5 linked regions of the Danio rerio genome follow. The protein of the gene in region 2 binds, or shares a complex with, the protein of the main gene of each other region. Links are inferred from orthologs where the notes say so. Each region holds a gene or a part of one and is shown on either strand. Other genes may lie near its edges. The genes, in order: exosc3, exosc1, exosc2, exosc4 and exosc6.

Region 1 (6,830 bases), on a different chromosome or scaffold from region 2:
TGTATATTAAATATAACACATGAAAGCCTTCTTCAAACATTCCAGTTTAATTTATATTTATCTTAAACTATTATTCAGTCTTGTGATCGTCTTACTGTGTGTTATTTGTCTCCTGGATGTGTTGGTGGTGCAGTTATATGGTTTATAAATGTAATGAATTATTTTCTGTTGTTTATTTATCCAGGACACTCTTGCTTTCCCTGGAAAAATAAACAATGAAAGCTACACCTCTATTGAGACAAATCATGGTTTATGCACTGTTGTTATTCTTGTTCACAACAGAAATAAACTGGGTTGAACTAACAGGTTGCATCAGTAAATGATCTCTCGCACTCTCACAAGAGGAAGTATATTCCTCAATCACTCATATACATGACGCTGCTTATACAGCCACCGTCCAAACATCTGAACTCATTTCCTGCATCTACAGTAGAGCAGATGGTGTTTACCACAGCAGCGCCTCCTGCTGGACCACAACAACACTTTCGGTCATTTTTATTTTAGACATTACTAATTTTTTTAACATTCTTCAAAGTATCTTATTTTATATTTAACAAAAAAAACATTTATAACTGACTAAATAAACAACAACAACAACACACACAGGTCGGCTGATTCAGCTGGTTTAATTTTCATACAAAAACTTCCTTGTACAAAAAAAGCAGACAAATAGAAATATCAGAATCAGTGGAGCTCTGAGAGACGACAGTTTTTACCACAGCTCTAGTTATGTGTGTTATTCCCCTCGACAGGCCTCCTGAACAGTGTGTGTGTGTGTTATATTCCTCCGTCCGCCACTCTGCTGAACAGTGTGTGTCTCTGCGCGGTGCTCATGTTCTCGCTGGCCTCCAGCAGGTTGCTCAGGATCAGTGTGTGTTGGACGGTTCTGGCCTTCACCCACACTCTGCCGTTCATGCCCACCACCATCTCACAGGGGAACATCTTCTCCAGATCCGAAACCAGATCACTTTGTGGAGCCAGCAGCCTACACACACATACACACACACACACACACACACACACAAGCGCTCGATCATCACTAATAACTGCACATTTACATGTTCACTTCTCTAAACTCAGGGCTTTTGCTAGTAACGACAATAGCAGAGTCCACTAAAGGAGATCGAGTCTTCTCATTTATGGCTCCTAAACTCAGGTATAGCCTTCCTGATAATGTCCGAGACTCAGACACACTCTCTCCGCTCAACACTAGAGTAAAGACCCATCTCTATAGTAACACACACACTGCTACACCTAACAGTATGATGCATAAGTGTGCTCCACACAGGTGTGTGTTTTCTAATCAGTACTGTGTGTTGGTGTGCGTTTTCTGATCAGTAGTGTGTGTTTTCTGATCAGTAGTGTGTGTTAGTGTGCATTTTCTGATCAGTAGTGTGTGTTTTCTGATCAGTAGTGTGTGTTAGTGTGCATTTTCTGATCAGTAGTGTGTGTTTTCTGATTAGTAGTGTGTGTTAGTGTGTGTTTTCTGATCAGTAGTGTGTGTTAGTGTGTGTTTTCTGATCAGTAGTGTGTGTTTTCTGATCAGTAGTGTGTGTTAGTGTGCGTTTTCTGATCACTAGTGTGTGTTTTCTGATCAGTAGTGTGTGTTAGTGTGTGTTTTCTGATCAGTAGTGTGTGTTAGTGTGTGTTTTCTGATCAGTAGTGTGTGTTAGTGTGTGTTTTCTGATCAGTAGTGTGTGTTAGTGTGTGTTTTCTGATCAGTAGTGTGTGTTTTCTGATCAGTAGTGTGTGTTTTCTGATCAGTAGTGTGTGTTAGTGTGTGTTTTCTGATCAGTAGTGTGTGTTATAGTGTGTTTTCTGATCAGTAGTGTGTGTTAGTGTGTGTTTTCTGATCAGTAGTGTGTGTTAGTGTGTGTTTTCTGATCAGTAGTGTGTGTTAGTGTGTGTTTTCTGATCAGTAGTGTGTGTTTTCTGATCAGTAGTGTGTGTTTTCTGATCAGTAGTGTGTGTTAGTGTGTGTTTTCTGATCAGTAGTGTGTGCTGGCTTGACCTGTCCTAATACACCAGACACTGTGTTTAAACACTCGTCCGCTTCACAAGTGTGTTTCTATAACTCTTATTTTCCCTGCTGCCTGTGCTGTTGAGTGTGTGTGTGTGTGTGTGTGTGTGTGTGTGTGTGTGTGTGTGTGTGTGTAGCTGTAGGTCAGACCTGCGCACGAGTCCCAGCGACACTTTAAAGAGCAGCCCGTCGCCTCCGAACACACCCATCCCGTTGGCTCTCCCGCAGCTGTCGATACACACCAGCTCCGGCTCCATGTCCTTGTTGGCGATGGTGAACTGCCCGAACACCAGATCTCCAACCTGGAGGAGCAAACAGCAGCGTTAGGAGGACTCATACACACCGAACACGACTTTGCTGGGTTGTTTTCCTCCACTCTGGGTTGATGTCGAGTCTTCATTTGTCCTCTTTCTCTGTGTTTCAGTAAATGTGATGATTTCTGCTGAATAATCTGAGTCTGACACACATTATGGGGAAATGCTGTGAGAGTTTTCATAACTCATCAACACACTGTTCACACTGTGTGTGTGTGTGTGTGTGTGTGTGTGTGTGTGTGTGTGTTCACACTGACTCTGCTTGGTTATGTTGTCTGTTGTTGCTCCATTCACTTCCATTATAATCACAGTTATTGACGGTGAAGCCCTGACAGCAGATCATCCTGCATTACTGACTGCTGCTGCTTCCCTGTGGGTCGATCTGTCATTTCACTGTTGATCATGAGTTGTTGCTGCTGGAGTGGCTCTGTCATCATGTACCTGCACGTTGGGTCTGTTCCTCTTGGTGGCTCCTTCAAAGGCCAGGTAGGACAGAGACGCCTGCTCACTTCCTCCAACGTCCACTTTGAAGACGTCTCCAGACTTTGCGGTCACGATGCCGATCACACTCTCACCCTTAGCTGGAACATACTGCAGGAAAGAGCAGAGGTCAGTCCGGAACACCTTCAGCACAGATAGAGGAGCACCACGACACATCCTGACCTGTGCAGTGTTAAAAAGGGCCAGTTCACCCAAACATGAACACTCTGTCATTTATTCACCCTTTACTTGTTCCAGACCCGTTCAGAACACTAATAAGATATTTAGAAAAATGCTGGAAACCTGGAGCCATTGTCTTCCATTTGTTTTTCCTACTATGGAAGTCAATGGTTACCGGTTTTCTGCATTCTTCAAAGTATCTTCTCTTGTGTTTGACAAAAAAAGAAACATGTAAAGGTTTAAAAATACGCTGAGAAAGGGAGTAAATATTCATTCTTGAGTGAACTGACCCTTTAAGATGACTAAAATAAATGATTTATATAGACCAAACGTAGTATACAGCTCTCTATCTCTCTCTCTCTCTCTCTCTCTCTCTCTCTCACTCATATATATATATATTTATTTAGTAGGGTTGGGCGATGTCAACCAATTTGGCAGTAGTGTGTGTTATTGTGTGTTTTCTGCCTAGTAGTGTGTGTGTTAGGTTGGGTTTTCTGCCTAGTGGTGTGTTTTTTTTTTTCCAGTAGTGTGTGTGATTGCGTGTTTTGCCTAGTAGTGTGTTCTAGGTTGTGTTTTCTGCCCAGTAGTGTGTGTTATTGTTTGTTTTCTGCCCAGTAGTGTGTGTTAGAGTGTGTTTTCTGCCCAGTATTGTGTTAACGTGTGTTTTCTGCCCAGTAATGTGTGTGTTCTGCCCAGTATTGTGTGTTATTGTGTGTTTTCTGCCCAGTAATGTGTGTTTTCTGCCCAGTAGTGTGTGTTATTGAGTGTTTTCTGCCCAGTAATGTGTGTTTTCTGCCCAGTAGTGTGTGTTATTGAGTGTTTTCTGCCCAGTAGTGTGTGTTATTGTGTGTTCTGCCCAGTAGTGTGTGTTAGGTTGTGTGTTCTGCCTAGTAGCGTGTGTTATTGTGTGTTTTCTGCCCAGTAGTGTGTGTTACTGTGTGTTCTGCCCAGTAGTGTGTGTTACTGTGTGTTCTGCCCAGTAGTGTGTGTTATTGAGTGTTTTCTGCCCAGTATTGTGTGTTATTGAGTGTTTTCTGCCCAGTAGTGTGTGTTATTGTGTGTTCTGTCCAGTAGTGTGTGTTAGGTTGTGTGTTATGGCTAGTAGTGTGTGTTAGGTTGTGTGTTCTGCCTAGTAGTGTGTGTTATTGTGTGTTTTCTGCCCAGTAGTGTGTGTTATTGTGTGTTCTGTCCAGTAGTGTGTGTTAGGTTGTGTGTTATGGCTAGTAGTGTGTGTTAGGTTGTGTGTTCTGCCTAGTAGTGTGTGTTATTGTGTGTTTTCTGCCCAGTAGTGTGTGGTATTGTGTGTTCTGGCTAGTAGTGTGTGTTAGGTTGTGTGTTATGGCTAGTAGCGTGTGTTATTGTGTGTTTTCTGCCCTGTAGTGTGTGTTAGTGAATTTTCTGAACAATAGTGTGTGCTGGCACATGTTGTGTGTGTGTGTGTTCTGACCCGTCTCTGCTGACAGTTGACCCAGTACATGTTGGGTTGTTTGTGTTTCAGGACTCCTGCTCTACACACACGGATCTCCGCTCCGCTCCGCCGCAGCCCCGGGCCGCAGATCAGCCTGTCCGCTTTCGGGTTCGCGTCTCCGGCTTCAGGAGGACTGAAGGAGAACAGCAGATCGCCTGGAAGAACCACATCTCCTATCCTCTCCAGCAGACTAGTGTGCACTGAGGAGTCCATGATGGAGGAGCGGAAAACACACACAAACACACGTGTCTGAGCACTTCCGGCACGGGGACTCTTATCCTATACAAATTAACTCATTAAAACCTCTCCAACCCTTTATGTCCACAACAGAAATATATTATAAAGATTTTTCTAAAAGCATTCTTAATATCATTCGACACCGGTAACCATCGACATCCATTATAAGAAAATAAATTCTATTGAAGTCAACAGTTAACGTTACTGGTTTCCAACGCTTAAATAACTTGTGTTCAACTGAGACATGGAATTAAACCGGTTTGGGACATGTAACGTTAACGGTTGAGTAAGTGATGGCAGGATTTATTTTAAGGAGATCTACCCCATTTATTAATATTTAGTCTTTGATTGTTTTTAAAAACGAAATATAATTAAATCGTAAAAACAATCAATAAATCAAAAACTGGATAAAGAGAGGGAGAACGTGCTAACATTCCAGCTAACACAAATCTTCCCCTTTAATTTAGGTTATTTTTGGGACTAATTAAACTAAAACTATAACTAAAATAACTTTAACTAAATAGGAACGTTCTGGTAACCAAAACTGTTGGCCAAGTTACTGGACTATACCGAAAAATGCATATTTTTTACCAGTTAAGTTAAATAATTCATACTGGAAATAAAAGTCACGATGTTTCAGAAGTTTGAAAACCGCTGAGCGGGAAATGGGGACTTTTGTGGCATTTCCGTTATGGCGGAGCACACAGAGGCAGAAGGCATCGGCCTGGCTGCAAACAGGTGCAGTTTTCGCTTTATTTTTCCCTCTCAGATAAACACAGACCCCCGGTTATCATTCGCCTTAGTTTATCCCGAAACTCCTCTGGGCTTCGTCTCCAATAAGGCAGATTTGAGTGGGTTTTAGCCTCGTCTGGCCCGTCGGAGGGTGGACAATGAAAGCAGCACAGCAGCAGTCGCCTCACTGTGTTTATATCGCAGTTTCCGCCGAGAATAAGAGCTTGAGGACACACACCGAGTCTCAGAAATAACCCTGTCAGTGTGTAGAGGGTGTGATGTGGCTGTGAGATCAGCTGGACAGTGTGTTTATGATGGAGTCAGTGCTTCAGATTCAGGTGTACTGTAATGAACACCTTCAGCAATGCAGGAGTCAGTGCAGACACTCCTCCATCATCAGTATCTGGGGTTAAAGTGTGTGTTCTGCTCGTCTTCAGCGTGTTTATGGTGTGTGTGTATCTGTTATTAACAGTGTTGGGGAGAGTTTCTCTCGAAAGTAACGGATTACAGTGTCGCGTTACGGTGTTTTAATGCAGGTGATGTGCTGTGAAAAGGCTGGAACTTTGCTTTTGGCTGAAAATGAGTTGTTGACGCTTTTGGGATATGCAGGATTTCCTTCAACACATGGACATGTTCCTTGAGCCACTTGTGTTTTTTTTAATTGTCACATTGCCAGTTTCCTAACAACAATTATTTGATTTAAGTAATTTTTCCTCAGTGCTACAGTAGAGCTGCACATGATGCTATGATATGACTCGCTGCCTGTCATGTTTATGGTGATATGTATCAGGCATGGGCTGGTATTAGTTTCTGACCGTATGATAACCTTGGACATAAATATCACGGTTTCACAGTATCATGTTATTGTGCTCACTGCTCTGAAATATTTACTTTTTAAATCTCTGGTTAAAAAACTAAACTTTTTTTTCCTTTTTTAATATATATATTCTATTTTGGGAAACATTTAAAATATTTTAGAGCAGTAAACATGTCAGGCTAAATCATTTTAATGAATCATTCACTTCTGCAGTCTTTGTTTTTTTATAAACACTAATATTTTTCCAGTTTAAAACAGAATCTTTGATTATATTTTCTGCTGGAGATACTGCTGTCCTTAAAAACAAAACAAAAATTAATAAAAAAAAAAAAGAAATCTTATTTATACCTTAGGAACGGGATAGCGGAAAATTTTCATGGTTTTAAAACCTTGACTTTCCCAAACCATGGTATACCTTGAGTCGTCCCATGCCAAATATATATATATATATATATATATATATATATATATATATATATATATATATATATATATATATATATACATATATATATATATATATATATATATATATATATATATATATATATATATATATATATATATATATATATATATATA
Region 2 (6,830 bases):
GTCTTCCCAGAAGTCTCCTCAGTGGGACATGCCTGGAACACCTCCCTAGGTAGGCGTCAAGGAGGCATCCGAAACAGATGCCTGAGCCACCTCAGCTGACTTCTCTCAATGTGGAGGAGCAGCAGCTCTATTCCGAGGTCCTCCTGGGTAACAGAGCTCCTCACCATATCCATAAGAGTGCACCCTGCGAAGGAAACTCATTTCGGCCGCTTGTATCCGAGATCTTGTCCTTTCGGTCATGACCCAATGTTCATGACCATGGGTGAAAGTAGGAACATAGATTGATCGGTTAATCTCCTCTATGAATCGCCACCTTATCGTGGTGGAGTGCCTGAGTGATCCTAAGACTTCTGTTGTCTGGGGCTAATGCTACTGGTAGGATCTCCCAAGGCAAAAAGGTCTTTGGTAACAGGTCAGACTAACTGCAGTTCAAAAACTCCTTATGAGTACAAAAACATTAAGGGCCGTGACGTCGCCGGTATGGCGCAGCCGGGACCCCAGCCTGGAGCCAGGCCTGGGGTTGGGGCTCGTATGCAAGCGCCTGGTGGCCGGGTTTTTTCCCATGGGTTTTAGTCTGAAGGAGCAATGTGGGACCCTCCTCCTGCACCACATGCAGGGGGAGACTTAAGAGGCCGGTGCGTTGTGGAATGGGTGGTGGTAGAAGGTTAAGACCAAGACAACCTGATCGTCAGGCACAGAAACGAGCTCTTAGAATGCATTCAGCTTGCCAAATTTACATAAATCTTCGATCGTTAGCAGTGTGTCTCAGAAGTGCTGTACTTCATGTTTGCAAGTTTTCTCCCCAACAAACCCAATAATATCGACGAAACATTTACCTGTGTTAGCACACAAAAGGCAAAGGAAGATGCTAACCATCTCACAAAAAGTAAAACTTCTGAACTGCTTAAGTATGGTAGAAGTTACGGGAATGTTTAAACAAGAAAGAAAAGTGTGAAAATATTAATGCCTATCTGGAAAAAGGAGTGTCGTGAGGGGTTTCACAGCCTTAAAACATCTAGAATAATTAATAATACAACAATAATACTACTTCTCGGATTTCACCTATTGCAGGTTATTTTTAGAGTGTAACTCCAGTGATTAACGAGGGATCACTGTATATTATAATAGCAGATTTACTGATATGCAAACATCTGTACCTGATTGTGCCTCTGAACCTGTCCTTTAGCGGTGTCGAACCCACATATAAGATGTGCACTTTAGCAAACCTTGGGTTGATACTCGTCACCTGGAAAGGGTGAGGAAAAACATGCATATTCAATACACTTTCAATACATAAATACAGTCATAAATTACAGTTGAACAAAGTACAACACACATGCAGTCGAAACCTTAAAGGAACACTTTACTTTTATTGAAAAGGCTCATTTTATAGTTCTCCAAGAGTTTTACCATTTTTGAATCAATTCAGCCGATCTCCAGAACACGTTTAGTTTAGCTTAGCATAGATCATTAAATCAGATTAGTCCATTAGCATTTCATGCAAAATTGAGTAAGGAGTTTTGATCATTTACCTATTTAAAGCTTGACCCTTTTATAACTGCATCATGTACCAAGACCAACGAAAAATTAAAAGTTGCTATTTTCTAGACCAATTTGGTTATAGGAACTATACTCTCATACTGGTGTATGAACAAAGAAATTTGCCGCTGTACCAATGAGTGAAGCAGGACCAATGATGATGAAAAGCACCTTAAAACAACACCAGCAGGGTAACAGCGATGCATAATATCATTGTTTCTGCTGTATCCATGGTGCAGCAAAGTTTCTTGATTATTACGCCGGAATGAGTGTATAGTCCCTATAACCAAATCAGCCTAAAAAAAGAGCAACATTTCATTTTCTGTGAGTCTTAGTACTTAATGTAACAACAGAAAACTCAACCTTTAAATTGGAATATCATATAAATGTTTAAATAATGTTTGCAGCAACATGCTAATGGTCTAATCCAATTTAATGACTTATGCTAAGCTAAGCTAAAAGAGCTCCAGCCAGACCTGAAGATCAGCTGAATGGATTCAAAAATGGTCAAACTCACTTGTTTAACTTCAGGAGAGCTGTAAAATGAGCTTATTGCCCAAAAACTGTGTTTCTTCAACTTTCGTAATAATCTGTAAATGGCTAACAAAGACACATGTGACAGATTAAGATATATCAAAACCGATATACCTTACAGGTGACGATCGCACCGACGTCAGGCAAAAGTTGCGCTTCTGTCTCTCTAACAACTGAAATCACCGGCAACTAGAAATCAAGTCGGGAGGAAAATTAAGTACTCGGTTATGAAGAAACATGGACTTCTAAGCTGAAATTTAATCTGCATGAGAGCAGCAGAGGTGAACTGACCTCCTCTCCCTCATTCTTCCTCAGCACGTATCCTGCTAGTGAAGCGAAGATGTAGCCGTGCCGCAGATACGTGCCTGTACCAGGAATACAGTCCTCTGTGCTGCAAAGCCTTTCGCCTGCAGGACACACACACACACACACACACGTGAGGCATGCTACAGAAAAATGCATAAATCATGTACAGTACTGCTGTCATAATAGAGAGTCTATAAGCCATGACGAACACAAACACATCCACAGTTTGGCCTCAAGCTGACATGTTAAAATTAGTCTATTAACTGCATAATAATTGTAATAAACTTATAACATAGTGACTTTATGATTAGGACATGAGATTTGGTCTGTTTACTATGAATGCTTATTTCAGCCAAGAAATAAGTATGATAAAGGTACAGTTATGTGAAATATTTCAATATTTCATATTTTTCAAATATTTCCCAGACCATGTTTAATAGACCAAAGGCATTTTCAAAGTATTTCCTTTAATGTTTTCTTCAGTAGTATTTTTATGTGCGTGTGTTAAACATGTATATATTATGTACATGTGAAACATAAAAAACAGTTTTGAAAAGATAGATATTTAAATTTATATACAATTTGTAACACACACACACTTAATGTCAATATATGTCAAATATTATAACTATTTTAAATAATGAAAAATAAAATAATAAATATAATAAAATAATAGAATGATAAAATAATAATAAATAAATGCATTACAACAAAATAGTCCATTAACAAAAACAAGCAGGTTTACATTTCAACTAAAACAAAACCTCTTACACAAAAGCTCTGGCTAAGTGTATATAAGTGTATATACATTTACACTAGTGCATATCTAGCTAGTAAGTGATTACGAGACTTTCCACTCCCGACTAAACGAAGAGTTGCAATTATATTCAGCTACAAATGCAGTCCACAAATAAACATCATAAATCTGGATTTCCTGAAGCAAATCAAGCCTAAAGTGATGAGAGCAGATCGCGTCAGCGGATCGTGTAGAGGCAGAAGAGCGAGTGTTTGAGGGCAGGTATGCATGACAGCCCCGGGCGGTGGGCAGGGCTCGCCAAACGAGTCTTTAAACCCCACAAACTCATCCACAAACGCGATTATTTACAGTGTGCTTGCAATCAGCTAAAATAGCATCTTTATTGGCATATGTTGACTGAAGTCGAAGACATGAGACTTGTTTACAGCGTCATAACAGTCGCGCGTGCTGACGATTCAGCCCTACAGCAGTACACGTGAACGCTTCGAGACGCAAAACTATCCGCAACTTACATCAAAGCTCATAAAATGTCACTATATGCATAAAGGATCAACACATAGCCAAGATATGTCAGCAATAAGACGCCAAACATAAAAGTAATCCCCCAAAAAACATGTGAATAACAGCGACCCACCTGGAACACACAGCTTCATGGGCGACATGTTTTCAAGAAGCAAGATGAGCCTTGTGATTGGATATTAGTCTGACAGGAGCTCGCGCTCTGATTGGTCAGTTCAGCATGTGTGGGTTAAGCAAACCGCCATATTTGTTGTGGCAGTATATTTTTTAGTTTTTTATTAACGTTAGATACATAAATCATGAATACAAATGAAACAATTATACAAATGAGTACATATTTATGGTACACATTAGTTTCTAATACATAAATGTAACAAAAGAGCACGAAAGAGTATTGTGGCAGTAAATGTAAACGTTTTGAGAGAATATACACTGACTGGCCACTTTATTAGGTATACCTTCCTAGTACAGGGTTGGACCCCCTTTTGCCTTCAGAACTGCCTTAATCTTTCCTGGCAGAGACTCAACATGGTACTGGAAATATTCTTCAGAGATTTTGCTCCATATTGACATGGAAGCATCCTGCAGTTGCTGCAGATTTGTCGGCTGCACATCCATGATGCGAATCTCCCTTTCCTCCACACCCCAAAGGTGCTCTATTGGATTGAGTTATGGTGACTGTGGAGGCCATTTGAGTACAGTGAACTCATTGTCATGTTCAAGAAACCAGTCTGAGATGATTCACGCTTTATGACATGGTGTGTTATCCTGCTGGAAGTAGCCATCAGAAGATGGGTACACTGTGGTCATAAGGGATGGACATGGTCAGCAACAATACTCTGTTGGCTGCTGACATGATGTTTTTTTGGTGCTAATGAGCCCAAAGTGTGCCAAGAAAATATCCCCCACACCATCACACCACCACCTCCAGCCTGAACTGTTGATACAAGGCAGGATGGATCCATGCCTTCATGTTGTTGATGCCAAATTCTTACCCGACCATCCAAATGTGGCAGCAGAAATGGAGACTCATCAGACCGTGCGGCGTTTCTCCAATCTTCTATTGTCCAGTTTTGGTGAGCCTGTGTGAATTGTAGCCTCAGTTTCCTGTTCTTAGCTGACAGGAGCGGCACCCGGTGTGGTCTTCTGCTGCTGTAGCCCATCTGCCTCAAGATTGGGCGTGTTGTGTGTTCAGAAATGCTCTTCTGCAGACCTCGGTTGTGACAGGTGCTTATTTGAGTTACTGTTGCCTTTCTAAAAATTAGCCATAGCTTTAATACAACTAACAAAAAAATCACTTAAAAGTCTGTGTGAAATCGAAATTTACAATGTTTATTTTGCTAGCGCACATTGTTATTCTGAGGTTAAACATGTAATCCGTGCACAGTAATCTGCTGAAAAAAGTTTGTTTTGGTAATATTCAAAGTCTGAGCATCTGCATTTGGACTGGTTCATTTTCTGATGACATCAGTTTAAGCTTCAGCCACAATAATCTTAGCCACGCCCCCTTTGTTTGTTTGCTATGAGGGAATGATGTAAAAGCCACGCCCCCTACTTAATATTCATTTTCAGTTTGAAGTAAATTGACATACTGGAATAAAAGTTTCAGCAACTGTTCAGACTTTAAACGCAAAAAAATGTGAAGGTCTTATTATTACTATTATTATTACAATAAGTCATTATGTTTTTTCTTACATCATTGATAAATGTTTGTGTCCTATGATTATAAAAAAAAAAAATGAACAACAAATCAAAAAAAATCACATTAACACCACATCTCTGCTCGCGTAAGCCAATAATATTTATTAGGGATTGCACATTGTAACACACAACTCTCGTCTTTCAGTCAAGCAAAATAACTTACAAGCAAAATACTAAAGGAACAAACAAAAAACAGTGTCATTATTATTCTGGGGCACAATATTCAATATTGAATTATTAAGGTGAACATCTGCGGGCTCAAAATGCATTATTATAATCACACAAACGACAGCAGGACTTCGACATACATCGACATTAACCACATAATCAGTGACTAATCATTTTAATACACAAATCACCAAGCAAAACTCACTTCTCGACTCTAGATGTGGGAGAATTATGGGATATTTCCAGATCATCTCTGTGGGTGTTTCGGAGCAGCGACACAAAAAAACATGAATCACACGAAGACCGGGAAATAAACGCAGCCCACTTGATCATTAATATATGTCGGTGCCTGGCAACAGTCGTCAATGAAATGCCACAGCAGACAAACACAAGTGCCATCTTCTGAAATGTGCAGTGGTGGATTACTGGCACTAAATACAGCTAAAATCCCTCCTAAACATAATTTCAGCTCGCCGCATTCACACTCACACACTTCAAGCGGTTTGAATTGTATTAGGATGGTCCCGAATAAGAGACAGTTCACCCAAAAAAGTACTTTACTCACTATTTACACACTCAAGTGGTTAAAACCTGTTTGAGTTTCTTCCATTTTTTCTAGTCAATGGTTACAGGTTTTCAGCATTCTTCAAAATATCTTCTTTTTTGTTCAATAGAAGCAACTCAGATGTCTTCTATTAAACACAATAGAAGATATTTTGAAAAATGCTGAAAACCTGTAACCATTGACTTAGGAAACATATGAAAGTCAATGGTTACAAACATTTTTCAAAATATCTTCTTTTCTGTTCAATACAAGAAACTCAGACGTCTTCTATTGAACTTAAGATATTTTGAAGAATGTTGAAAACCAGTAACCATTGACTTCCACAGTAGGAAACACCAATATGGAAGTCGATGGTTACAGGTTTCAAGCATTTTTTAAAATATCTTTTGTGTTCAATAGAAGAAACTCGGACGTCTTCTGCTGAACACAACAGAAGATGTTTTGAAAAGTGCTGAAAACCTGTAACCATTGACCTCCATAGTAGGAAACACAAATATAGAAGTCAATAGTTGGAGGTTTCCAACATTCTTCAAAATATCTTCTTTTGTGTTCAAAGAAGTAACTTGGACGTCTTATTTTACACAATGAAAGAAATTTTGAAGAATGCTGAAAACCTGTAACCATTGACTTCCATAGTAGGAAACACAAATATGGAAGTCGATGGTTACAGGTTTCCAACATTTTTCAAAATATCTACTTTTGTGTTCAATAGAAGAAACTCAGACGTCTTATTGAACACAA
Region 3 (6,704 bases), on a different chromosome or scaffold from region 2:
TTATTAAACAAGCACTAATAAAAAAGGTCATATTTTACAGTCATTTATAATAGGTATTAGCATTGAAAGAAAGCTAACATTTTTATTATATATTTCAGCTTTCTTTCAATGCTGATACCTATTTTAAATGACTGTATTTTTACAGTAAGAACACTGTTTGTATATCCAGGGATGATGAATGTCTGATGCGGTAAATGTGGAGGATACACTGATGAGATCTCCTTCCTGCAGATAATCCCTCATGGCCAGCTCATCCTGCGTGGAACGACGTCTCTGAGAAAAAAACACACACACACACACACACAATAGTAATTGATCTGTTGTGGTGATTCTACAGTTGCTATAATAACAAAACAACTACAGTAATTGATCTATTGTGGTGATTCTACAGTTGCTATGGTAACACCACAATAGTGATTGATCTGTTGTGGTGATTCTACAGTTGCTATGGTAACACAACAACTATAGTAATTGATCTTTTGTGCTGATTCTACAGTTGCTATGGTAACACAACCACAATAGTCATTGATCTGTTGTGGCCATTCTACAGTTGCTATGGTAGCACAACCTCAATAGTAATTGATCTGTTGTGGTGATTCTACAGTTGCTATGGTAACACAAACACAAAAGTAATTGTTCTGTTGTGGTGATTTTACAGTTGCTATGGTAACAAAACAACTACAGTAATTGATCTGTTGTGGTGATTCTACAGTTGCTATGGTAACACAACAACTATAGTAATTGATCTGTTGTGGCCATTCTACAGTTGCTATGGTAACACAACCACAATAGTAATTGCTCTGATGTGGTAATTCTACAGTTGCTATGGTAACACAACAACTATAATAATATAAACAAACAAGCCAACTGCGGGGTATTTATCAGTCCACTATAGTTAATGGTAGAGAGTGCGGGAGCATTCATTAAAGTATTGTAACTGAGTTGTGTGTGAACTGCCCCTTGAATGCGTGTTGCCAGCTCACCAGCTCTCCTCCAGGCAGATTGACCGCCGACAGCAGCAGCACTGAATCCAGACGCGAGTTAGTCTCCACTTTCCATCGCTTCTGCTGCACCTTAACATTTAGAGATGCACATCATCATCATCATCATCATCATCATCATCATCATCATCAACAACAACAACGAGAGATTTTATACATAAACTACTGAACACCACTGACCTCAGTGATTCTGCCCACAACCACATCACCCACCTCTCCGTTATACCTGCAGGAGGAGAACATCACATCTAGAACACAGTATTACCACAGCATTATACATTAGTGAAGTGCAGTGTGCTATACTGTAGTGCACAGGTCTCTAACTCCTGGAGGGCCGCAGCTCTGCACAGTTTTGCTCCAAGCCAATCAAACACAGTTGATCAGGGTTGGGGCACATTGTGCAGAGCTGCGGCCCTCCAGGAATTTAGTTTGAGACCTGTGCTGTGGCGTTAGTGTAAGTCAGTGTGCACCTGGTCTTCAGCGGTTTCACACAGATGAGTTTGTTGACTCGCTCCACCTGTCCTGCCACTGAAGCGGTGAGTCTGTCTTCATCCATGTAGGTGCCGTGACCCCTGAGGACGAGGTGAAGTCAGATGAAAACGGTTTTTATCTTCGCACAATTGGAATTTCACATTCAATAAGACAGTAAAGCAAAATTTAAAGGGCTCTTGTTTCACCCCAGCGATGATGGATTGACCGGCACATTTATATGCTCTTTCTACTAATTAATTAAAGCCTTTGCTTTGGATGTATAATGAATGCATTGATCTAAAATTTAGATAATTAGCGTGCAATCACGCTCATCACTATTGACAATAAAATTTTAGCCTTGATATTTGCTAACAGATTAAAGATTTCAGCTGATTGCTGAAACACAGTCCGGCTTTGTAGGAGCTAGACACATCAGTAATAATATTACAGTTTTTTAGACCTTTTCGATTATGCAGACTATAAACATCACAAGCTATGATTCTATTCCTAGACTGCTATAAAACATTTATTAAGCCATATTAACATTGCTGTTTAAGCTTGACTTTCATGTTTGGCCATTTCTAAATGGATGTGAAAAATACTTTAATAATCACACACAAGTTCTCACCATGAGCTCAGGTTTATTATTTCAGATATAGACACGCAAGAGTGCACGCAAAAAGAGAAAGTTGGGGCACTCGGAAATTAATTAATAGTTAATTTTGTTACAGATTTTTAGTAAAACATTTACACTTCTGCTTTTGACAGATAATGTAAGGATTGTTTTTGTAAATAAAATGGAAACGCATGATCCAGTTCTGAATTTAATATACTCTGATTCCAATTTGACCTTGGAGAAAGTTCGAATCGTCCATGAAGAAAGGTAAATCTCCCAGCAATGATGGATTATCCGTCAAGATTGGTATGCTCTTTCCACAAATTAATTAAAAACCCTTTGCTTTGGATGTATAATGAATGCATTGATCTAATAGACAAGACAAGACATCATCAATGAAACGAGGTGTTCCCAAACCGATAATTGGTGTCCATCACGCTCATCACTGTTGACGATAAATTTATTTTTGATATTTCCTAACAGATTAAAGATAAAGAATCAGTCAGCTGATTGTGGAGACACAGTCCGGCTTTGTAAGAGCTAGACACATCAGTAATAATATTAGACTTGTCTTGGACCTTTTAGATTTTGAGCAATTCCATGCAAATGTCAACCTTGCCATAAAATAAACAAATACATTCTTCACAAAAACACCAAACCCTTTCCCGGTGTTTTGAGTAGGCTTGTATTTTACAGCACTGTTAAAATGTCACATCCATAATGCATAATCGCTCTCATGCAGACTTTATCCTATCATTACAACTCTATGATACTAGTCCCTGACGTTTATAAAGCATGGACTTCTTATGCAGACTGTGAAGTTCTGTTTTGGTGACTTTGTTAGTCAATGCTATTGAAATGTTTTACTGGCACATTAGAGGTTCTGTTTTAACCCATTAACAATCAACGTCTCAGTGGCAGGACGATTAAGTTTAATTCACTATACTGCATTTAAATACTAATCTAATCATGACAAACTATATAATCGCTGGAAAGGCCATTTAAACAAGTTTTAATCCTTAACCCTACAACCTGTGGGAATGTTTGCGGTTGCATTTTTAAAGCATAATATTACAGTCTAAACATAGAGCACTTTTATCAAATAATATATCATTTAAAATCTTTCTAGTATTTATATCTGATGACTGATTTTTCAGAGTTGTGAAGCATTACTTTGCTACAGCAATCCACAATTGAGGTAAAGTGGGTTTTATATTGGCACATTCAGACTTTCTTCTTAATAATACAGTTTCAAAAAAGTAATCTTTACAAATTTTAATAATGAACTCATATCAGCAGCCAATGACTATCAGAGTACAACATTGTTTACAGTCAATTAAATAGTGCTGATGTTGTTTTTAAGTCAAACTACATGCGATTTCAGACCGAATACTCAAAGTACAATACAGGCAACGTGTCACAAGTTATCACCGTTCAAAAATGAACGAACGTGCAAATACAAACCAACTTTACCTCAATCAATACACATGTAAATAATGTATTTTAAAAGTAACGTAACGCGTCACCGTAAAAAGTAACGCAACTAGTTACTTTCCAGAAGAGTCTGTCAGTAAAGTAACTTTCTCCAACACTGAACAAATACACTACATACACTAACTTGAGTTCTCAATCAAGTCCGCTACAGACTGACAGACTGCAGGTCTCAACGAGTTCACTCCACACACACACACACACACACACACACACACACACACACACACACACACACACACACACACACACACACACACACACACACACACACACACACACACACACACACACACACACACACACACACACACACACACACACACACACACACACACACACACACACACACATTTATTCTACAACAGCTCAGTTAATACCAGTTATTAATGTCTGTGTACCTCATGAAGCCCGTGTCGGAGGTGATCACATCTCCAGGCACAACCAGGTGTTTGTCTTCGCGGGAACTCTGTCCTGTTTTCAGGGAAACGTGTTTGTGAACCGCTGGAAGCCGCATCTCCACCGCCATGCTTCAACAACACTATAGCCGGGCAATATGGCGGCGAGCACGGCTCCACTTCATAATAAAAGCCCGACTGTGTTCGTGTTCGGTTTGAGCATCTAATCATCTGAATTTGGTCATTAAATAACGATTTAAGTTCGTGTTATACAATGTGTGAGGTTTTATTTTGTAACGAGAATTAAGAGACTTTTTATATTTAACATTTTAAATGACAATATAGCAAAACTTTAATACATTAAAACATTAAGTTAACATTATATGCTCTAACAAAATAATTTTATACTTTTCAGAACCAATTTGCTTTCTACATTTATTTTTGTTATTCTTTTATTGTGTAAACACAGGTTCTTAAAAGAATGAGATTATATAAATAATCATGTATTATTATGTTTATTATTATTATTATTATTATTATATTTATTATTATATTTGTTACTATTTACACATTTTCATACACCTAAATATCTTTTATGTATTGTTTTATTGTGTGAATTGATCTCGTGGCCTAGATATTTACTGTATCTAGTAAATTGTTTAAATTTGTATATATTTATTAATATAAATTTGTATAGATTTATTGTATATATATTTATCACTGTTCTGATTCTTTAATTATTTCTTGATGTTTTTAGCATTCTTTTAACCCCATTTACAGTATTGTTTGTTATTTTCACTCATTTGTCTATTGTTTTGTTTTATATTTACTCTTTTGTGTATTCCTGGAGTCATAAATTTTCTATTTCACAGTTTATTATTTTATTAATAAACCATAAAGTGGGCGGGGTCTCTCGTGTCTTCCGGAGGCGTGACTAATCGATGCTGAACTCTCCGGTTCTTCGGCAGCTCTTCTCGTCAGTCCTTGGGGAATCATGAGCACGGCTTCGGGATTCGGGAAAGCACTGGTCATCATCACCGGGGCATCCCGGGGCTTCGGCCGAGCTCTGGCTCTGTCGGTGGCGGCACGTGTATCTCCGGGCTCAGTACTGGTGCTCGCGGCTCGGTCGGAGGAGCAGCTGCTGGAGCTGAAGAGCGCGCTGACCCGCGGGGAGACCGGCCTCACCGTCCGCTGCGTCCCGGTGGATTTGGGCTGTGAAGCAGGAGTGGAAAAACTCATTGCCGAGACCAGAGATATCCAGCCGGACATCCAGCACCTGCTGCTCTTCCATAACGCCGGTCAGAGAACACTCAACGTTCCCTTAACGTTAGATTTTGATTCCTGTTAACGTTAGTTTTTTAAAGCCAAAGATAACGTTTTGCGAATTCTTTTTAGATTTAACTTTTTTTCCAACCATAAAACAACTTTCCCAGAACTTCAAGAGGGGACACGTAAAAAAAAAAAACAAAAAAAAAAACATACATAACCTTTATGATTTGATTTGTTTTGTATGTTTGATGTTTGTTTTCATGTAATTCATGAGCTATATTTTGCAGAATTACAGAACTAAATTTGTAAATACAGCATTTATGAAAATTTTAAATTAATCAAGATGTGGAATAATTAGTTAAATATTAAAATAGTCATAAATGATTTACTCAGTAATAATGAGGAACGTTAGATGGCATCAAAACCTCACATTTATTTGAATTTCTGTTCTGCGCGCCTAAATTCTAACGGTCAAAACCTTCATTTAAAAATCAACCGTCGTTTTGTAACGGCCTGACTCACTATAGCTATACTTTCTCGTCTTGTTATCGAATAATTCCATGTAACGTAAAATTTATTTTTTATTATTGAATACCTGACATAAGGTGAGCCTAACGTAACGTGAAACCGCTTGTCTACAGACCAAAGAGAAAGGCATGTCTAAACCTCAGTTCAGTGGTAAGCATTCAATGTATAATATATCCTTTGTTATCTCAATGGTTTGTTGATGTGATTGTTTCGGTTGTTTATGTCTGTGGATACATTTAGTGTTGTATAGAGATTGTTTTGAAATCATTACTTGGTGTGAGGAAACGTAACATCTCTGTAAAGTTAAATGTTACCCCGTGATGAAATAACTTAAACCTTGCACAAGGAAGGACAACAAATGTTCCTAAAGTGCTTGAGTTTTATAAGTGCTGGACTAAGATCTCTTCCATATATATATTTATATATACATCTAAATATATTTCTTTATATATTTTGCCAAAAGAGTAAACCTGTTTCTGCGTTTTTTGTGTGTGTGTGTTTGTATTTTACAGTGCTTTAAAAATACTCAAAAATGTAATTGTCTGTGTTTTCAAACTATTATATTTGATTTACCAAAGTCACATTGCTCATCCGTCACATCCATAATGGAGAGATGTCACATCCATAACAAAGCTTTTTCCTCATAAATGCAAAAATCTAAAACCAAATAAAATCAATCATGGTTGTTCTATAGTGAGCCAACTCTTATCCTTTTGATTGCAGTTTAATTCACAGAATTTCTACAAAGTATGTTGTATACTGCAAACTTGGACTTTTTTTGTCACATCCATAACGCATGTATATTTCCCTAATTTAAAATATAAAATTGGTATTTTTCTGCTCCCACAACTCTGGCCATGTTGTTTTGAAAAATATAAACATATGTTTCAATATAATGTTAACATATACTTCCTCTGTCGATTTATGTTT
Region 4 (6,807 bases), on a different chromosome or scaffold from region 2:
GTGGTTGGATGTATAGTTGGGTGGGTGCATGAATGGAGTTGGATGGGTGAATGGATAGTTGGGTGGGTGTATGGATGGATAGTTGGGTGGATGGATGCAGAGATGGATGGATGGATGGATGGGTAGTTGAATGGATAGTTGGGTGGATAGATGGATGGATAGTTGGGTGGGTGCATGGATGGATAGTTGGGTGGGTGCACAAATGAATTTGGGTTGGTGGATAGTTGGATAGTTGGGTGCATGAATAGAGTTAGGTGGGTGGATGGATGAATAATTGGGTGCGTGGATGGATGGATAGATGGATAGTTGGGTATGTGGATGGATAGGAAGGTGGGTGTATGCTGGATGGAAAGATAGTTGGATGGGTGCATGGATGGAGTTAGGTGGTTGGTGGGATGGAAAGTTGGTGGTTGGATGGATGAATAGTCGGATGGATGATGGATAGTCAGATGGAGGATGGAAAGTCGGATGGATGAATAGTTGGGTGGGTGCATGAATGGAGTTGGGTGGGTAGACGGATGGATAACTGGGTGCGTGGATGGATAGTTGGGTGGATGGATAGATAGATGGATAGTTGGGTACGTGGATGGATGGGTAGGTGGGTGTATGCTGGATGAATGAATAGTTGGGGAATGCATAGATGGATGGACTGTTGGGTGGGTAAATGCATGGATGGATAATTAATTGGGTGGATGAATGGTTGGATCGATAGTTGGGTGGGTGGATGAGTTGATTGACAGTGGGGTGTATACATGGATGGATGGATATTTATGTGGATGCATGGACAGTTGGGTGGATGAATGGTTGGATCGACTGTTGGGTGGATGGATGCATGAATGGATTGTTGGGTGGGTGGATGGACTGTTGGGTGGGTAGATGAAGGGTAGGATTGATAGCTTGGTGATTTTATGGTTGGGTGGGTGGATGGATGAATGGATAGATAGTTGGGCGGATGCATGAAGGGATGGATAACTGGGTGGATGCATGGATTGATGGCTGAATAAATGCATGGATTGATAGTGGTGTGGGTGGATGGATGAATTTCCAGATAGAATCCAGGGAGGATGTATGGTTGGACATATGACCAACTGAGCAGATGGATGAGTGGATGAACAGATGAAGGCTTGGACGGATGTGCTTGAATGATGATGGACGGATCGATTCATGCATGGATCACTGGATGTTAAGATGTGTACAAATATGTGAATTAACTTATGCATGGATGGATGCACAGATGGATGCATGTGTGGATGATTTGGTATACGTTTTTAAAAACATCCAAAGTGCACTCAGTATCAATATACAATATGATTTACGGTGATGGATGAATGAAAGCACAGATGCATGGGGGCATTTAAGAATAGATCAACGACTGATGCAGAGATTGGTGGATGCAAAATTGGGCAGGTGAGTGGATGGATGATAAACGGCATGAACGTAAAGAAGTCCATGTACCTTGACGTAGATGTCGATTTGTGAGCGTGGGTAGAGCTCAGTGAGCACCGCAGCCTCAAAGGTCTGTTTGAGGTGGAGGCTCATCTCGCTGGACTTCCGGTCTCCGTGTGGACGTCTCTTCCTCTCCGCCGTGCTGAACGTGGCCATGCTGTACTGACAGTTGATGATGGCGCGATCATGCAAGGATTTACTGCGAGAGCCTCGAATCTACAGGGACAAAGATGAACTCCAACATGTTATTCAGTTAAACGATGATAAAATATTGGATGTTACACATAACCGACACGTTGGACAACGTTACTGCAGAGATTCTGGCCTGAGTGTTTTGTAATAATTATTGTCTATTATTCACAGCACCATTTTAATCAATTATATTAGACAGTTTAACTAATTAAGAATTATATTATTATATTGAATCCACGAATACTTAAAAACATACGGAAATGTGTTGTTCTTGTTTTAATTTATTTTAAAAATAATAACAAATGAGATCCCACTGACATTCTGACCACTGACAGAGAAAATATTCCCAGTTTCATATATAGTCCTGCTGAAAAATCCAGCTTGAACCAGCCTAGGATAAAGTGCTAATAATTTTGACTTCAACTGATAATCGTTTTGAATAATCGTGATTACAATTATGACCAAAATAATCGTGATTATGATTTTTTCCAAAATCGAGCAGCCCTAGCTAAGACCAGGCTGGAAATGGCTGGAAGTGGCCAAAAACCCACTAAAACCAGCCTGGTCGACCAGTTAAATCCAGCCAACCATCCTAGGCTGGTTTAAGCTGGATTTTTCAGCAGGGTATACAGTTATTGGTTAAATACATCATAATACATTCTGATGATGTCTGTGAGATTTATGTGTTTTTTGCAATGACTGTAAAAAATATGGACGACGCGACAGCCCTTTTTCCCATTGAACGCCTTGAGGGCAAAACGCCTGCTTGACGGGCACAAACTGTCGCAAAAGACTGCTGAAATTGGAGCCAGACATGCGCAGAAGGACTGTCTGATGGAGCCAGAGGAGGAGCCGCGAAAATGAGCGGAGTCGAGCTTCCAACCAAACGCTTTATGTAAAATCAACCACGCCCCCCGAACTGCTCAGCGTGCGTTTGCTGTCATATCAACACAAATGGATGTAATAACGTTAACAAATATGAGGGTTTTATATATTCAATCGCGCCAGCTCCAGGCCGCAACACATAACTTACTCGCGGCGTCGCGGGCTGATTCCGGCTCACATGCGGCAGCGCCGGCTCGCTCGGCCGCCGCATCTGGCTCGATTGACTCGGGCTGGAATTGGGTAGTGAGTCCAGGCATCCGGAGTAGGTCCAGCAGAGGTAACATTAGTCAGTCTGAGCTCTAAGAGATAAGTCTCCGGCAGGCGAGAATCTAGCCGGAACTGTGTTTTGCTATCTGGGTGGCTAGGCGTGTATCAGCAAACTAATAAAGCCCGAAAAAAGCCCTGAACTTAGCGAATAAACAGTGTTCCACCAGGATCATGTATGTCAGAAACTGTAGTTTACTGCTGAACTCATTTTGTCACGGTAAAATAACACAGAAATCGAATAATAACATTTCAGTCTACTTCAGTCTCCTGCCGAAGCTCAGACGCGCTGCTTTGAGAAACTGTCAATCACAGCTGTCAATCACGATGACACGCCCAGCATTAAATTACTGCTAAAAACAAACTGTTTACAAAAATGAGGATCTGCACCTATTTCAGCACAATAACCAGTGCCTTAATCGACCAGAACTATCTTTCGGGACATTTTATTGCAAGTGTAATATTTTTTTTTTATTTGGGCTCAAGTCTCCTTCATTAACACGGAGGAGGCGGGCTTTATGACTTGTACTGCAGCCAGCCCCCAGGGGGCGATCTAACGGCCGAAACCTTCACTCAAAGGTAGGCTTGCGGCACACTTGGTTTTTTGTGTTACACTGTAAATTTTTTATACACGAAAAATAAGTTTATACAAACAATACCTATTTTTAATACTTTCCTTGTTGAAATTTCGTACAATATTGAATCTCTTAAGCTTATTAATAATAATAAGTTTCTTAAAGCTTATGACAATCTTTTTTCTTGATTGATGCTGTGTTTTTTATTTCTCTCTCTCCTTTCTTATTTTTTGTTATTGTATTTTTTCTTCAATGCAGTGATTTTATTATTCTTGTAACGTTATTCAATAAAAAAAGAGATTTATGTGTGTCGCATTTTATTATTAGCATGTCCTCATAATTCACCATATCATTGTAATACCTGTAACGTTATCATACCCAAGACATCACAAACACACACCTCATGTGGCCCATACACCACGGCCAGAGCTTTAGTGTTGCCCTGCTCCAGATAAGCAGACCCGTCGGCCTGCGCGAACACACTCATGCGGGCCTGCACCTTCCGCAGCTCGGTCGCTTTCCGTCCGTCAAGTCGGTAACCCTGATCCGACAGCAGCTCCAGACCCGCCATATCTCTCCGCTTCTTAACTGAAAACACGCGTGTGTGTGATGAACTTCTTCTTGTTGTTCCGCACAGGTCTTCTTCTGCTGTGGATTTTGCTTTCCTTGTGTATCTTCTACCGCCATCTGCTGGATTAATTTGAGTTCTCACTAATGCGAGTAATCCTCATACTGTATTTTAGGTTGTTCTCTAGATGGCAGAGTTAGCTTACTTATGTTAAACCCAATCTTTGAATATTTGTAGCTTCTTATTGTTGTTTTAAAGCACATTAAGACTAACATATTCACACTAACACCTTTAATAGTGTACATGCAGCAGGACTTTTAATTTTTAGTAACCCAGTACAAGCGCTTCCAATGAACTGCTGTTACAAAATCGCAGCGTTTTAGATCTGTTTTCCTTTAAAAAATCAATTATAATGATTTACAATGTAAATTGGGTCTCAGAATTAACAAGAAACAATGCATTAAAATAACATTGTTCTGTAGTCTTTATAGGGACTTTTATTTTACTTCAGGATTTATAATGGAGTTTCTGCGCTCGCCTGCTGCTCAAGACAGTGTTTGATTTGTCAGCTTTTCATCTTATTTTAGGCTTCAACAACTAAATGAATGCTTAAATATGTTTAACCAGTTATATTTTAATGACATTACAACATCGATGCTGTAAAAGGAACTGTATGAAATAAAAAATAGTCACATTAACATTTCACCAGAAGTTTATCGGTAGCCGAAAACACTAGCTGTGCATTATAGCCTATTTTGATTTTACAGGGACTTTAATACAGCAGTTTCCCTCATAGAATCATCATTCTCCAGTCTTAATCAGCACGGTGGTATGAATAAATCAGCACAGAATTCAATAAAAAGAGAAAAGGTAGATTTTTCCTGTACGGCACAAATCAATGTGGCCCAAAATATAGGAAAGTTGGCAACTCTAGAGCGAGTGTCAGCCCTCATTTCTTCTCAAAGGTGTAAAACCAGACTCTGGTCAATAAAAGCCTGTATTGAGAGTGATATGGATGATACGTTTCACTGGGAAAGTTCCCACCAAACCTGTTTTCACTAGACAGCAGCTGTGAGAATCATGTGCATGAAATAAACATCCAACATAGGCTCATTCTGAAAACGTAGCCCTGTATACACTTCTGGAGATCGCAAATTATATAGCCAGCAGAGGGGGGTAGTAACAAATTACATTTACTTCATTACATTTAATTCAGTAAAATTGTTGGGTACTTTTTGAGAACATTTAAAAATTTTTACTTTTACTCTTACTCAAGTAAATTATAAGAGAGAAATCATTATGCCGTGTTTACACCAGACGCGGAATGCGCGGATAAATTGCGCTATTTGCGTGTAAATAGCCGCGTGAACATTTGAGTTTACTCGCTTCATTCGCGCGTCAAATCCGCTTCATTCGCATGTCAAATTCAATTCAACAGACGCGGATTCCCGTGATGGGCAGGGCTTCTTTCTGCCCGGTGACTAGCTTCATAGCTAAATGGCTAACATAGATTGTATGAAGAAAATAACAGTGTTTATGTGTTTTATGAAGACTGAAAAACAGCGTCGATACGTTTCTGAGTCCACTAGTTTCTTTCAGACGTGCATCCAGTTCTGTGAGCTCATAAACTTCTCCAGAAACTGAACCTGGATGACGGAGGCTTTCAGCGGTGCTTCTGACTGAGCCCAGCCCAATTTGATGACTTTTTGTCGGTGTCTGATTGGTTAACGCGGCGCGAATGTCCGCTGAAGCTCAGATTTTCGAACTCGAGTGATTCGCGCAAAACGTGCGCCAAGCGCGTCTAATGCACAAAACGCTCAAATTGCAGCACGCCATTCGCGCGTATCGTGCCATTCGCGCAATTCGCGTCATTCGCGCCGCACCTTTCGCACGTATCGCGCTGCAGGATGTCTATTGGTGCGTTTGTATTTACTTAACATGCAAATCACTCGCGCTTGATACGTGTTCGGCGTCTGGTGTGAACGCAGCATCACTCTTACTTCGCTACATTTGGCGGCGTTCCTCCGCTACTGTCAAATGATAATGAATATAATTGATATGACTTCTTAGCAAATATCACGAGGCGCCGCATTGGAGAGGTTGTGTGGCGAGAGGTTGCTGTAGAGATGCGTCTCCCGCTTCCTGTTGCGCGCGCCAGCCTATATTGGAATTATTGGTTGCAATGGCTAAAGGCGAGAAAGACGTGTGAGTTGGTTTATACTTTGGTCACGCCATGACCATCTGTGAGTTTCAAGAAGGATGGTCACGCTGTCTGTGAAGACTAAGTCACCCGTGACCCCAGATTAATAAAGGGACTAAGCCGAAAAGAAAATGAGTTTACTCAATTTTTAAAGTCAACTAACAGCTTGAAAAGCAATGGGTGTACTCACTTTTTTTTTTTTTTAAAGTAAATTCAACTCATTGCTTTTCACAGTGTGAATGAACAACCCTTTCTGCTTTCATCAGACATTACCTATGTTTCCATCAACCTATTTTTATGCACATTTTGGTATTTATTTTTTCTGGAAACGCCCACATGCGCATACATTTAGAAAACAAGCATAATAAATGAATGTGCAGGATTAGAGCATGCAAAATCACTTTATAAGGGGTTTAAATGAAGTTGTGTGTTAACAGTGTGTGACAATAACCAGCTTAAAATAGTAAAAATGTAATAATCTCAGAAACGGGTGCCATTGTGTAAATAACCAAAGACTAAACAAAAATTTATTGTGTAAATGAGGAAAAAAGGCCCCTACATCTTCAGTGAGCAAATTACATTTCATTGTTGGGTGAAATATGTCTTATGCCAACCGGGTTGCGGAGACTTTAATTTCAGCATGGTGATGAACTTCAGACTGAATATTAAGTAGGGGG
Region 5 (5,628 bases), on a different chromosome or scaffold from region 2:
TCAGTTCTTTAAACAGGATTCCCACACTTCCACAAACAGCAAATTCAAAGACTTTAAAGTACTTTTTAAAGCACCATTAATTTTAAATAAATCGCTGTTGTAAATCATACACCAACTGTACTTAGTATTTCACTTAGACTTGTTGTTAGATATTTATGCTTAAATGTAGTAATTTTCAAAAATGAATCGTTTTTAACAGTCATGTTTTTTTTTAACAAATCAAATCATTATGTGACAATAAAAGTGATTTGATTTGGATGTTGAAAAAAACTTGAATGTGCATTAATTTGTCAGTTTTATTGTGCAATATTGAAATGAAAGAATTTAAATTTCTCAGTGTTTTGTTCTGTTTTGAATTTATTTGTCTGAAATTCAAGTACTTTTAGGAAGCGTGGTAACCCTGTTTAAAGGGGCAGTTACCTCATAAATAAAAAAAGTGCTGGTTGCTCATACTTGGGTTATCCAAGAAGTAGGTGTCTACTTAATTAAAGATGTCCTATGGTGATTCAAATAATAGTTCTAGTCACGGCCACCAACACAGAGTCTGTGCATCTTGCAGAGATTAAGGTAATATTCTTATAACATTTACTTTCTAGCACAGAACAGTTGATTCATTTCATAGAAACCCAAAGAACCACGGGTATTAACTTGTTTTGCCTGTGTTTTTCAGACTATGAAAGTGCTGCAAGCTACTGACTTGCATTTTACGACTGACCATGGGCAATGGCTTCATCTAAATATCTTAAATATTCTACTAAAGGAAAAAGCCATCTAGACCAGAGATGCCCAAACTACGGCCTGCCATCCTATCTGAGAAGTGAGGGAGAATGATGAAAAGGTTGGTGCCATGCCGCGCGCTTGTCATTTCTAATTTTAATGTAACCTTTTGTTTGTTCATTTAATTGTTGGGTTGCAAAAAAAGCAACTGAAATTAAAAGTTTCACTTAAATGTTGTGCATGAATCACATTTAAAAAAAAAAAAAGTAAGAGTCCTTGATGAGCAAATCAAGTGTCCTGAATATATTCAGCAGTGAACATTATTGTTATAAAGAGGATTGTTTTTTTATTGTAAGATGTTCATTATAAAATGCAAAAAAGATATAATTATTAATGATTTCAGTATTCTTTCAATTTATTTTAAATATTAATAAATAAGGTAATTACCATGGCAACTGTAATGTAATACTTTGGTTTATTTAACTTCAGCTCACCACCTATAATCAACTTTTTTGGCCCCTCATAAGAAAAAGTTTGGGCACCCCTGATCTACACCATGGATGGCATTGAGGGTGCGACAGGAGATTTTCGTTTAGGGGGAAATAATCTGAATACAAAATCAGCAACACCACTGAAATGAACAAATACAAGATCATAGAGGAGATAAAACTGCAGAGGAGTTTATTTAGTTGGTTCGACATTATTACACATTTAAATGTACAAAATTTCAACAATTGTAATCATTTTAACTGTTCTCAAAAAGAAGCGCCAAACAAAAGTCTATTTCTCAGGCGGAGGCGCTTTCTTCTTGACAGCCCGCGTCAGCGCTTGTTGAACCACCGGGTAGAGTTTATGACAGCCGTCCATGCAGGTTCTCATAGCCTCGGTCAGAGTGTCCTCCCGCATCTCCCCGTCCGCATTCAGGCCAGACACCTGATTCAGATTGGGAAGCAGAGCCAAGGTGACGCACCCCTGGTTGTCTCCGTAGCCCTCCTGCCAGCTCCCGCACTCCTCGGCGTATGACGGGTCAACGAGACACGCGTTTCCGCTCTGCCGCAGCGTGCAACCCAAAACAATGTCGTACATCTCGATACCGGCGTCCGCCAGGGCCATCGAAGCGCAGGTCACCGCGTGCGCCAGAACCGAGCCGTCATTCTCCAAAACCATGACATTCACGTCAATCTGAGAGCGCGGGTATCTGTGTAGGCAAACTCCCGGCCGCAAGCTCTCCATCAGAGTGGCGGACAGGTCTCTCTCCTCGCTGCCCTGGATCCAGGCTCCCCGTTTCACGCAGGAAAACGGCGCGAGCCTGAAGTCGCAAACCAGCCGACCGGTTTTCATGTCCGTTTCGTCCCTTCGTTCCGTTTCCTTCGGCCCGTACACCGAGCAGATGATCTTGGTGTTTCCAGCCTCGATGTACGCGGAGCCTTTCGCCTGGCTGACTAGCCCGCAGCGCGCAAACACCGGCCGCACATCTCCGTTCCCGCGGACGCCCTGCCTGCTGCTGGGGGCTTTAGGGGCTTTGTCCGGGGACAGAAAGAGCAACGGGGACTGCGACTCTTCCGGTCCACGAATACGTTTTGTGTCAACCGGCATTTTTAATAAACCCACGTGTTTACGAGAGCATAGCTTACTTTGCAGCGGTGAAACTACTCAGTCTTCCTCGAGGAATCAAATGCTTCGGGATGCTGCAATCAAATGCTGTTTGCGCGCTGCTGCCCTCTGCCGGATAGGGATAACGTGGCAAATGTGCTGTGGCAAAGACATTATGCTTTGTTAGATGTGATGTGCATGTTTTAAAGTCAGGAATGAAATAGTTCATTTGACAGACGTAATGTAGACCTAGTTTAGCCATTTTTCAACACGTTGGATATTACTATTTTGCTGCAGTGTAGATAGTCGAACACTGATGTGACTTGCAGTCTGCAACCATAGCTCAATACACGGTGCTGTTTGTATTATTACTTTTGATAGGCCTGAAGTATGCAGAGAAACATCCTTCACACCATTAATAATGTAAATACCAACTGTTGAAATAATGTGGACATTTTACAATAGCAGCAACACAACGAACAGTCATTTCCCATTGTCAGACAGTCAAGACAGATAATTAAGTTGGACAGAAGACATTTGCCCAATACAGAATCAAAATGATAGCAGTTACACGATACAGCATATAGAAGCAACATAGCAGCACAAATTAACAAACACACACACACACACACACACACACACACACACACACACACACACCATTACACTACTAGCTGGCTAAACTGAAGATGCGAGACAGGATGGATCCATGCATTAATGTTGTTTAGATCAAAAATCTGACTCCACAAAAGTTGTAGCAGAAATCAAGACTCACCTAATCAGTTTTTCAAGCTTCCTTTGTCCAATTTCGGTAAACCATGTTAGTGTTAGGTTAAGTTTGCTGTTTTGCTGACAGGAGTAGCATCATGTTCTCTTCTGCTGCTGTAGCTCATCTGCTTCAAGGTTTGACATGTTGTGTATTCATTCAGAGATGGTCTGCATATCTTGCCTGAAGAGAGTTATTTGACTGTTGCCTTTCAGCTCAAAACAGGTAAATGTCCTCTGACTTCTGCCATCAACAATGCATCACATCCCTTTCCCTCAAAGTCGGCATGACTAAATGCATTGAGTTTTCTACTGTATGTAAATAGCTCGTTTAATTTTTGAGTGGCAGTTGAGTATATACAGTGCTCAGCATAATTGAGTACAGCCCAATTTGAAAATTTGTAATTTTATCCATTTCTCAGTGAATATAGGCAATGAATCCTGGTGCTTTTAAACAAAACAGATTTAATAAACAGAAATATGTATTAAAATAATATATTAGTCACAAAACATATTTAGAAGTTAAAATATTATACAATTAAATTCAAGTGAAACATTAAAAAATTAAATTACAACCTACACAATTTCAACAAAATTTATTTATTTTTTGCTTCTCTTGATTTTTCCTCTTTTTAAAATTTGTATTTAATATTTTTCTGTATCATAAAAAATTTGTTATTTTGTTGGATAGGCTTCAGAACTGACTAATCTATTGTATATGCACAAATATAATATTGTACAGCTTCCTATTACAAATATGAATTTAAAAGAGAGATTTGTGAGGGGTGTACTTATATAAGCTGAGCACTGTAGGTTTAGGCTAATTACAATTGTACAGTCCATGGGCCTCTCTAGCTGGATCTTATAAAAATACTTAATCACAATGAGTGAAACTCATGAAACTTGGCTATATGCAGGGGCGTCGCCAGGGGGAAAAGGTTAGAACGATTAAGAACTATGCAGGGAAGATGCACTCTTTTTGGACCCCCAGAGTTACTATTTGGGGGCCCAATCAAACTGGCAACAAAAAACACCCCAAGCACCCCCATATGTGTGTTTTCTTTTTGGCTTAGTCCCTATATCAATTCAGGGTTGCCACAGCGCAAAAAGGCCAAGTCACTTCATTATTCCGGGGTCGCCACAGTGGAATGAACTGCCAACTTATTCAGTGTATGTTTTATGCAGCGGATGTCCTTCTAGCTGCAACCCATTACTGTGAAACAATGTCCCCCAATGTCCACCACTACGCTCTTCAGTTCGCGACAACACCACATCCGCCACCAATACCAATACATTTAATAAAATAGATTGTATAAATATTGCACAGCATCATAAAGCATGGTTTTCCCAGAGATGGGTTGCGGCTGGAAGGGCATCCGCTGCGTAAAAACCTGCTGGATAAGTTGGCGGTTCACTCCACTGTGGCGACTCCAGACTAATAAAGCGACTAAGCTGACAAGAAAATGAATGAATGAATCAAGCATGGTTTAACATTACAGCAAGTACTTAAAAGTTCAGTATAGGCTAAAGGGTCTAAGAGTTGAGAAGGCCAAATTATTGACCCTTCCATCTATTTTTTAAGACTTCATATTCCTAAATTAATATTAGTTTATAATGCAAACTGTATGCATATTGTATGAATTAAGTGATAAAAGTTCTATTTATCCGTACTCTAAAATTTGAGAAATGCCATAAAAAAGCAAGCTGAAAATTCACAAACAACTTCAGTAATCGAGAGAGACACGTGCCTCGAGTGAGCTCTTCAAACGAGAGTTTGCTCAAAGGGTTCGAAGAGGGTCGTAAAACTAATTAAATTCAGCCACAGCGTTTCACGTCCTTACAAAAATATCCCCGTCCTGCCGTGAATTCCTGCAGTTCTAGACAAATTCGCCACAGAAGCAGCCGCTCCTCTGTCAAATCAAGACAATTCCTCCTAACATGCAACTTCAGAGAAGCAATCATTCTGACTCGGAACCAACCGTTACAAGCGCTAGCAAGTCTGTACAATATTTCACACCTTGCGATGACATTTTAAGGGATCTTACTTGAGACAATCCTGCTATACGATTCAGAACAGTGTTTTATACCAGACAAGTGCTGATGCGTATGACACAGGCCTGAAGAGTTCCGTTATTGCCAGAAGGTTCTCACATTGGTTTCGTCCAAGAACACAGCGGGACTTTAGAATCGTAATACTTTTCCATTAAGTATATTTTAATCACATTTTTTAGGTCTTGAGGCGCTGAGGATGGAGGAACTGGCCCGGGAGAGTATACGCAGCATCAGCCTGCTCTCAAAACCTGCGCGGGGTTCGGACGTCCCACGACTCGGCTCATTTGGGGCCATTTTCATCATGCTTAAATCTGCCCTCGGAGCGGGACTGCTCAACTTTCCGTGGGCTTTTGAGAAGGCTGGCGGCGTGAACACTGCGATCAGCGTGGAGATGGTGCGTGTTGACACGTGTAGATTACTCATTTTTAAAGTAGGGCACGTGCACAGGTGTAAACCTTATAATCCATTCGAGGTTGACATTTGATTGGTGGCTGGCATTAA

What was found.
Region 1: exosc1 (region 2) and exosc3 share a complex: the UniProt entries of both Homo sapiens proteins name them as parts of the RNA exosome core complex. The link is inferred for Danio rerio from reciprocal best matches to the Homo sapiens genes EXOSC1 and EXOSC3.
Region 3: exosc1 (region 2) and exosc2 share a complex: the UniProt entries of both Homo sapiens proteins name them as parts of the RNA exosome core complex. The link is inferred for Danio rerio from reciprocal best matches to the Homo sapiens genes EXOSC1 and EXOSC2.
Region 4: exosc1 (region 2) and exosc4 share a complex: the UniProt entries of both Homo sapiens proteins name them as parts of the RNA exosome core complex. The link is inferred for Danio rerio from reciprocal best matches to the Homo sapiens genes EXOSC1 and EXOSC4.
Region 5: exosc1 (region 2) and exosc6 share a complex: the UniProt entries of both Homo sapiens proteins name them as parts of the RNA exosome core complex. The link is inferred for Danio rerio from reciprocal best matches to the Homo sapiens genes EXOSC1 and EXOSC6.

The regions. Positions count from the first base shown.
Region 1 is NC_133189.1:58,543,273-58,550,102, forward strand, and holds exosc3 (exosome complex component RRP40), read right to left. Parts: upstream 4,687-6,830; 5' UTR 4,676-4,686; coding exon of another isoform or gene 4,442-4,675; 5' UTR 3,930-4,441; intron 3,735-3,929; 5' UTR 3,049-3,734; coding exon 2,776-3,048; intron 2,323-2,775; coding exon 2,171-2,322; intron 986-2,170; coding exon 778-985; 3' UTR 610-777; downstream 1-609. Other genes in the region: tcerg1a (transcription elongation regulator 1a), read left to right, coding at 5,391-5,437. UniProt on the Homo sapiens protein: Non-catalytic component of the RNA exosome complex which has 3'->5' exoribonuclease activity and participates in a multitude of cellular RNA processing and degradation events.
Region 2 is NC_133176.1:58,183,357-58,190,186, forward strand, and holds the start of exosc1 (exosome complex component CSL4), read right to left. Parts: upstream 3,812-6,830; 5' UTR 3,799-3,811; coding exon 3,771-3,798; intron 2,481-3,770; coding exon 2,365-2,480; intron 2,263-2,364; coding exon 2,188-2,262; intron 1,247-2,187; coding exon 1,158-1,246; intron 1-1,157. UniProt on the Homo sapiens protein: Non-catalytic component of the RNA exosome complex which has 3'->5' exoribonuclease activity and participates in a multitude of cellular RNA processing and degradation events.
Region 3 is NC_133180.1:78,503,559-78,510,262, reverse strand, and holds the start of exosc2 (exosome complex component RRP4), read right to left. Parts: upstream 4,175-6,704; 5' UTR 4,109-4,174; coding exon 3,981-4,108; intron 1,574-3,980; coding exon 1,472-1,573; intron 1,228-1,471; coding exon 1,182-1,227; intron 1,074-1,181; coding exon 984-1,073; intron 274-983; coding exon 208-273; intron 1-207. Other genes in the region: spra (sepiapterin reductase a), read left to right, coding at 4,972-5,275. UniProt on the Homo sapiens protein: Non-catalytic component of the RNA exosome complex which has 3'->5' exoribonuclease activity and participates in a multitude of cellular RNA processing and degradation events.
Region 4 is NC_133177.1:2,082,245-2,089,051, reverse strand, and holds the start of exosc4 (exosome complex component RRP41), read right to left. Parts: upstream 3,989-6,807; 5' UTR 3,934-3,988; coding exon 3,763-3,933; intron 1,663-3,762; coding exon 1,456-1,662; intron 1-1,455. UniProt on the Homo sapiens protein: Non-catalytic component of the RNA exosome complex which has 3'->5' exoribonuclease activity and participates in a multitude of cellular RNA processing and degradation events.
Region 5 is NC_133182.1:29,203,479-29,209,106, forward strand, and holds exosc6 (exosome complex component MTR3), read right to left. Parts: upstream 2,314-5,628; coding exon 1,498-2,313; 3' UTR 1,373-1,497; downstream 1-1,372. Other genes in the region: slc38a8b (putative sodium-coupled neutral amino acid transporter 8), read left to right, coding at 2,057-2,466, 3,240-3,301, 5,307-5,521. UniProt on the Homo sapiens protein: Non-catalytic component of the RNA exosome complex which has 3'->5' exoribonuclease activity and participates in a multitude of cellular RNA processing and degradation events.